Bombyx mori: one gene and its partner. The protein of the gene in region 2 interacts with the protein of the main gene of each other region in a biochemical or structural test. Links are inferred from orthologs where the notes say so. Each region holds a gene or a part of one and is shown on either strand. Other genes may lie near its edges. The genes, in order: beta-1-syntrophin and asparagine synthetase domain-containing protein CG17486.

Region 1 (3,832 bases), on a different chromosome or scaffold from region 2:
ATTCTTTTTCGAATTAAAAATTATTCGAGAACGTTCTTCTCGGCACTGCTCAACAAGAAATCGATATGATATCTAATTGCAATGATCATTCGTTTTAATTGTCGTCACGGAAGCGATCATCACTTTGAGCATCATATAGGAAAACGATATTATATCGAATTACAACAATCATTCGTTTCAATAATCGTCATGGAGGCGATCATCGCTTTGAGCATCTTAAAAGATACCATGAGATTCGACCACACAATTACTACAATTAGTACTTCACTGTTTTATTATCAATCATTTATAGATTTGAATATACAGCAACCTATAGGTAACTCATACTTACTAACGGAGGTTATCTCATACTTACTACCGGAGCTGTTTTCAAAGATCTCAACCTTTAACCAAACACGAAAACAAGCACTGGTTTAATTATTATGTTGCGTTTTGGTTGTGGTGTTCATGTACTTGAATGATAAATGTTATTTACATACGTTTGTATATCAGTACTACCACACATTAAAAAATTACTTTCACCGGTTACGAATAATTTAAAATTTTAATATCTCTTCAAAATTCTGGAAATAGCGTCAATTTAATCCAGCAGTCGGGGAACCGGGGTAAATTACCCCAAATGGGGTAAAATGAAATTTTGGGGGTAAAAATGAAACTTTTGTGAGTAAAAAATATATATTGAAGTGAAACTTCTTTAGAAACGTTAAATTTTTTGTTATTGTTTTCTTTTAAAAATTATCATGGGGGCTTATAATATGAAAGATGCTAAATGGAAGCGATTTCGTTTTTGTTTTGTTCTTCGCCATGAGGTGATATCAACTTACACAAAAAATATTTTGGTGTAATAATTAAAAAAGTTCCCCGACCGCTGATTTAATCTAACACTCATATTCTAAGACGTTACCGACCTACACTGGGTGTTAGGAGACCGCTTCCGAAAACGAAGACAGACGATAGTAAACAAAGTAATTCTTGGGGAGCGCGGTATCAGCTTCGCGCCGGTGTGCGTGTAAAAGAAACGCAACGCCTGGGCGTTCGTTGATCCGAGCATCAGCTGTTATTTATTTTGTGTTTCATTGCTGGTTTTTTTTAGTAAAGTAATGTATTTTCTATAAAACTATCGTTTCATTTATCTGTACTAACATAAAGGAGCGTAAATAATGCTAATAATACGCTATAAAAATGTTTTTTTTTTTTAATCAGTATCGATTTTTTTCCGTCCCATCATCAAAGGTGTCATTAATACTATCGTCTATCTTCATTTTCGGAAGTGATCTTTTTAACACGCAGTATATAAGCTTTCGCTGCCTCGACTCAAAGAACACGTTGTTGGTGATATTATCCAGGAATTCCCGAGATCGATATTCTATGTATTTGTAGCTAGATTTTAACTCAACAATCCTCTAGACTGATTTTTTTTTAATTGTGATATTGATTTTTAAACGTGGTTTCTCCGGGAATCCCTTAGGGGATTTCCAAACATACTTTAACTTCGACAGTCAGTTCCTAATCTCGTGTGACTAAAACCAGGGATGTCAGATGGAGATTCTTTATAAGCATGATGAATTGCTCAAATTCGGTTGAGCGGAATCGATGTAACGTCTTAGAACACGCCCCCCCTGGAATTTTGCATTTTCTTGGCATTCAGACTTGTAATCACGAATGTATATGTAGGTAATCATGGCCAGAAAATGTGCCTTTGCGTTAGTCTCTGTCAATCGCTTACAAGTGTCAAGTGTCAAGTGGCTACTTTGTCAAGTGTCAACGGTGCCAAATCGCAACTCTTTGCTTTAGCTTTAATTAAATGTTTTTTTAAATAGATAACGCGATCGAATCTCGAAACCATCCTGAATACAATTTTTCATGAATGATATAAAATAGATACATGTATATGCCGAAAAGTTTACTATTACAGATTAGCCATACAAATATACAGTCAAAACTATGCAAAAAACCAATCTGTTTTATTGTATATACTATACTAGTGAAGTGAGTGAATTGAGAATTCGCTTCAGATATGCAGAAATTTCGTTTGATAAATTGTGCACAATCACAGATACGTTTATTTTGATAAAAGAGATTCAATTTCAACGGAATACATTATATAATTTTATTGAGTATTTATTTAGAAGATTCGCAGATTTTTATACTCTTTTTAACTTCGGCTTAATGTAGCCTAGGTGGCATTATGTATTCCTCAATTTAATTCATAATACGAGTATATAATTATTCGATTTTGTTTTATCTTCGTCGGTTAATATTAAATGAAAACTGACGTTAAATGTTAAATTAAGCTTTCAATTGTTCCTTATTTAAATATAGGATTTTTTATTATTAGGCCAAAAGTGTTAAGAGTACACAAGGACATTATAGGAATAGTATTAATTCCCTTGGATCTGCTACTACTTATTACATATTTCACAGAGCCGGCTTTTACAGGTTCTGAAACCACGACCGAGCGTATTTGTCGATTATTGTACCGATATTTAAAATAGACCGGCATTTAGCAGAAAAGGCTCAAACCGCCACACTCAAATAGCACACATTACAATTATTTTAAATTTACTTCTATAAGCCGCGCCAATAAAGAAACGAATCTAAAATGGCAGCGGCGATCATGCGCTCTCAGTCTAAACTATTGCTGTCTTTAGTCGCACACGGCGCGTACTGCATGCAAAAAAAAATATTAGTTTCGACTTTGTTGTTGAGTTCGAGTTTTTTCACTTTCGAGTTGTGCTACTTAGCTGACTGGCAGCAAAAGTGTCTACGCAAGTTGCATCCTATATGAGACACCTCCCCCTCTGCCAGGGCACCAAAGTAAAGTAAAGTACTTTCTCATTTGTTTTTATTTTTATTTTTTTACAATAAACAACTTTTTCTTTCTATCTTTCTTTTTATTTGTTTACCCTACTATTTGTCAGTGCAGGTACATAGACGCCATTTTAGATTCGTTTCTTTATTGGCGCGGCAGAATGATATATTTTTGTTTTAGTCGCATGGGTTGCCAGTGTAAAAAAAAACCTTCGTTCATTGATAATTGTTGCAAAACTACTATGTTCCAAAGAGTTCGTTTGGTATAATCCTTGACTGAATCCTTTCTACTAAACTACGACCTAGTTATTTTACAAACCAACCCTACAAATCGAGTCGAGTGCGATCCAATTTGAATTTCGAACTGAGTACGATCCAATGCGTTGATCATACAAATCAAAACAAGTACAACCCTGATCATATCGATGAGAGCAGCTTCGACGAGCAGTTGTTATCGTTCGATGATGATTTGATGCCTTCTTTAAATTGTTCGGGTTATAGCGGGTTCGGTGTCGGATCTCCCGGCAGCGAGTGGACGCGAGCCGACAGCAAATTGTGCAGAATGAACACAGCCGGCTTCGGGCTACCGTCCATTTCTAGCTCCTGGCAAAATTACACGGAAAACGCATTTTAATGAAAAATATACACAAACGCGCATAAAACCCGGATGTGACAGAAGTGATAGGTTTTAAACGAGAAAATATATAAGTCATCTCTGTCTCGGTTGCATCAGAAACGTTTAGTTTTAGTTTGGCACTTCAGTTTGGTGATGTGTTTGGGTAAACATTTTCACTTTGCATCACCGTTTTCGATCAAACGTAACAAATACACAAATATGCTACGCCACGTGAAATATGCCACTTTCAACGGGTTTCCTTGATCAAATATTTAGATATGTATTCAGAATATACATTAAAATATATAGAAATTTATTCAGAAATATTCAGAGCCTGTCCACCCATCTAAGCAATAAAAAAAAACGGTGCGCTTGCAACTTGGTGCACGTAAATGAAGTGAAGCT
Region 2 (4,483 bases):
ATTAAACGGCCTACAATAAATATTTGTTTGGTCTGAAATATTTTTTTGCAAAGTCAACTCGGTTAAAGTGATTCGCAGTTAAAGTTCTACCTAAAATAATATATGATGACTTTCACAATTTTTTAAGGATTTATCACAGAACGCGTACTTAGCGTGCGTCAGAGCGCTAAACTGTCGGCGCGCTATGATGCCGAGATGTGTTGTATATACTATTACGTAGTACGCAACGCTGTCGCGGCGCGCTGCCGCCGCATGCCGCGTGACATGAACAGAGTGCGACGTTAAAACGCAGCGCTAGGTAACGCCTTTTTTTTTTTTTATTGCCTTTGTCGGCAGACGGGCATACGGCCCACCTGATGGTGAGTGGTTACCGTCGCCCATGGACTTCAGCAATGCCAGGGGCAGAGCCAAGCCGCTGCCTACGCCTTCTGTTTGACTAAGCCTTTAAAGCGCTGGCGCTCTGTTTGACAGTATATTATACAACACAAACACATCTCGACCTCATAGCGCTCCGTCAGTTCTGACGCGCGCTAATTACGCGTTCTGTTTGACGAAGCCTTTAGACTTTTTCACAAAAAAAATGGCTTAAAAACAAAACAACATATTTTTTTCGTTTTTACTTTCCATATTTATTTAGAATGCAAGCTTTGAAAACTGATTTTAATGTAGTCGGAAGTACTGTAAAGATTTTTGATGCGATTATGTCTATTATTTATTGATTTGTTATTTGAAATCAAGTTTTAAAAAGGAAAATTGATTATTTTTCTTTTCAAAGCTTTCATTCTCAATAAATATAGAAAACGAAAAAAAATTGTTGTTTTATGTTTTTAAGCCTTTTTTTTAGGTTAAACTTTAACTGCGAATAACTTTCAACCGAGTTGACTTAGCAAAAAATTATTTCAGACCTTTTTTGTAGGCCGTTTAATTCCCTACAAAAATATGTATTTCTTTTTACTACACGATAATTCGTTGAGATACAATAAAACTCCAAAGAAAAAAAAAACCAGTGTCATTTAAATGGGAAATCAAAAATCACGATGCGGCACCTCTAAATATTAATATTAAGAGCTCAAACTTTACATTTTTTTTGTCATCTTGGACGATAATTTCGTAGTACCAAAAGAAAAGTTTTTTTTTTGCCCATCTTAGTAAAAATGTCACTAGATAAGTAAATTGGGTAAATAAGAGTAAATATGCCTGTTCTACTATATAAAACTTACATTCTATGTTATAGGTATAAAAGAAATTAAATATATCAAAAATAGGTTTGTCTGTGCTTTCAGTTAAAAGTAGCTATAACTAGTAATTTCCTTTTTTAATTCAAATCAAATCAATCCTTGTGTCAAAAGCCCACATAAGGTGTCAACACCATTATTGAGTGAGTAGTTTATCAAGATTGCATTTAAGAATAACAATCTTCAAAATAGAGAAAAGCCTAACAAATAAGCACTAACATTTTACTATAACTAGTAATTTCCTTTTTTAATTCAAATCAAATCAAATCAAAAAAATCCCTGTGTCAAAAGCCCACATAAGGTGCCAACACCATTATTGAGTGAGTAGTTTATCAAGATTGCATTTAAGAATAACAATCTTCAAAATAGAGAAAAGCCTAACAAATAAGCACTAACATTTTACTCTAGATATAGATATACATTTATATATAATAAAGAATAAAATCACATTACCTAAGACACTGGATAATACTAAAGAATTTGAATTTTTATGTATGAGTAAAGAGTTTCTTCCAAATCGATCCCTAGTGAAATATAATTTATTTGTCACTTTACAGTAATATATTAAGCTGAATGGCCCCTTTAGTGACTTTAATACATTGATCACTTTATCGATTTGACTGTCCTGAAAAATAATATTTACATATAGGTATATAAGCTTGCCAGGGGTTTGTTGTAGGTTCAGTTAGCCAAGGAAAATAATATTTTCTCCTACCTACGCCGAAAGTTTGGTTTTCCTCCCGCTGTACAGGGAAGAAAGTGTAACTTTTCCTCCCTGGGTACAAGTGCGCATGTGCGTTAGTGTCTACATCTGCTCTTACGCACCTACAATTCTCCACCATTGTTGTGCTCGGGTAATTTGCAATATTGTGTTTAGTGTAAAAGTGAAATAAACAAAATGCAATAAAATTTAATACTGAAGTATTAAACAAAGATGAGTTCATCAGACAGTTCTTATTCAATTAGTAGTAGTTTATTTAAAAATTAAAAAACAGTTAAATGGTTTTTTAAGAGTATGGGGGGGCTCCGCTCCCCCTACCCTCTGCCAGGGCTTCGCTCCTGGACCCCAGCTAGGTATTCCACGAACTCGCCGTGGTAGGAAAAAAAATAGTATTTGCACTGCGAGAAAAAAGTAGGACATCTCATCCTGCATGTTTGCCATTTTTTTGACAATTTTACCCGCAGGAGGAAATGTCCTACTTTTCTCCCTTGGTGCACAATGTACTATTATTGGTATAAATGAATGTCAAGTTTTAGGCAGTAAGACTTTGGAAGGAACTTTAAATATTTGCTGCTAATAAAAAAAAAACGATAATATGAATTGATAAATTAACAACTATTTCTCACACAATCATAACTAAGTTTCTCCATGATTATTTGCGTGTCGCTGGTTCTGCTATCCCAAGATTCGTCAAATATATCACCATTATACAAAAGGATGCCACATTCATTTTCGAGAGGTTGTAATGTCATTTGCGGACCTTGCATCCATAGAACTGAGGCTACGAAAACTATGTGGTGTCCAATTTCAGAAATAAAATCCTTCCTCTGTAAGTGATCGGGTCCTCTGTTTTTGAGTCTTCGAAGGACATCAATATCCTAGAAATGGTCTCTATTAAAAAAAACCTTAAAATTGGTATACTACGTAACAACATTTCAGATTAATAATCACGTACGTTCACTATGCTACATTTTTCGCAGCTTAACTCCAAAAATATACCACACATGCTGTCAATTACGGTATCCAAACGATCAACAGCAATTCAAAGTTTCAAATGGTTTAAAAACACCACCGATGTAGCCGTCGGTGATACCCAATATCCATACTCCATAGAGTTAGGTATTTTTAGTAAGTAGGTACCGTAAAATGGGGCGATTAGGGACAAATTCCAACTTTATGAGCAATTTTAAGATAGTTGTTGATGTATATAATGCTATATCAGGATCAAAATGATTGAGTCTTGTGGGCATCTTTGTTATCCAATTTAAAATTATGCAACTAGCATTCCAGTTTAAGCAAAAAATGCAAAAATAGGTGTAATCCCTATTTACCCGAAAATTGCGGTTAATTGGGACGAAATGAGAAATTTGCTAGGGTTGGCACTACTTTTATTTTTATATATAGTTTTAATTTATTTATTTATTTAGTTGCACCAACAAAGTGATCATCAATAAAAAAAATTGAAAAACTGACAAAAGTACATGGCAGACATCACCTCAATTATAGGTGCAATCGACAGTGCTGATATTTCTATCTGGGTTAAGAGATTAGGTGTGTCGGTTATTCCATGGATTAATCAGATGAATACCCCCACTCTGAACAAATATTAAATATTTTGTTATGTGTTACTTAGACATTTTTGTCCACCTTGAGATTTCATTGATCTTGTTACATGTCTCTGCAAAATCGACTTACTTATATTAAATTGCTTATCTATTTCAACTAAAGACTTATTCCCAATTTCGCTTCGAATAAATCAGGTTTTTACCAACAAATTTAAAAAATATTGTTATAACTACATAGACAACCCTACAAACCTGTACCTATTTATACTTAGGTCGTTTCCATTTCACGTATTCTCATCCCAATTGACCCCTTTTTCGTTGTTATTTGTACCTAAGGCGTCCCCAATATCCCCAAAAACAACAGATTTTTACATGTATTTTTATTTAATCAATTACATTAAAACCAATAACAACTGAGACTTACCTTTAATATATATGCTGGTTCAAACACTAAATAACGTTTATAAATCATAGTCGTCTTCTATTATTATCAAATAAATAAAAGAGAGCAAAGTTTCTAGCACTAAAATAATTACCACCACAGGAAGTTAATTTGAAACGCGATTTTTTATAAGTTAGCAGCTATTATCATGCATATTCAGAGTTGTTTTGTGAACTTTCAACATTCTACTATTAAACTACAAAAAATGGAAGATTTTGCAACGAATATAAAACTTATATTGAGCGTCGAAAGATTTTCCCAGTTTTTTCCCGATTCGCCTCTCAATCCCTAATCGCCCTATTTTACCGGTACCTACTTATTTAACTCCATGGTGATATAGGCATAGAATTTTTTAAAGAAATTTTATGACATGGTAACTAAAGGTCAAGTCATTTTAATTTTATTTTAAATGAAAAATGATATAATGAAATGAAGTTGATTAATACGAAACATGGCATGAAATGAAATGAAAATCAAAATGAAATGAGATGAGATAATATGGGATGAAATATAATCTCAG

Evidence for each region.
Region 1: the proteins of asparagine synthetase domain-containing protein CG17486 (region 2) and beta-1-syntrophin interact in a test that uses a peptide from one of them, tested with the Homo sapiens proteins (2 studies listed by IntAct, with this or other methods). The link is inferred for Bombyx mori from reciprocal best matches to the Homo sapiens genes ASNSD1 and SNTB1.

What each region holds. Positions count from the first base shown.
Region 1 is NC_085118.1:12,117,875-12,121,706, reverse strand, and holds part of beta-1-syntrophin, read right to left. Parts: intron 3,415-3,832; coding exon 3,307-3,414; 3' UTR 1-3,306. UniProt on the Homo sapiens protein: Adapter protein that binds to and probably organizes the subcellular localization of a variety of membrane proteins. May link various receptors to the actin cytoskeleton and the dystrophin glycoprotein complex.
Region 2 is NC_085110.1:14,030,263-14,034,745, reverse strand, and holds the start of asparagine synthetase domain-containing protein CG17486, read right to left. Parts: upstream 3,099-4,483; 5' UTR 2,963-3,098; coding exon 2,912-2,962; intron 2,835-2,911; coding exon 2,583-2,834; intron 1,861-2,582; coding exon 1,689-1,860; intron 1-1,688.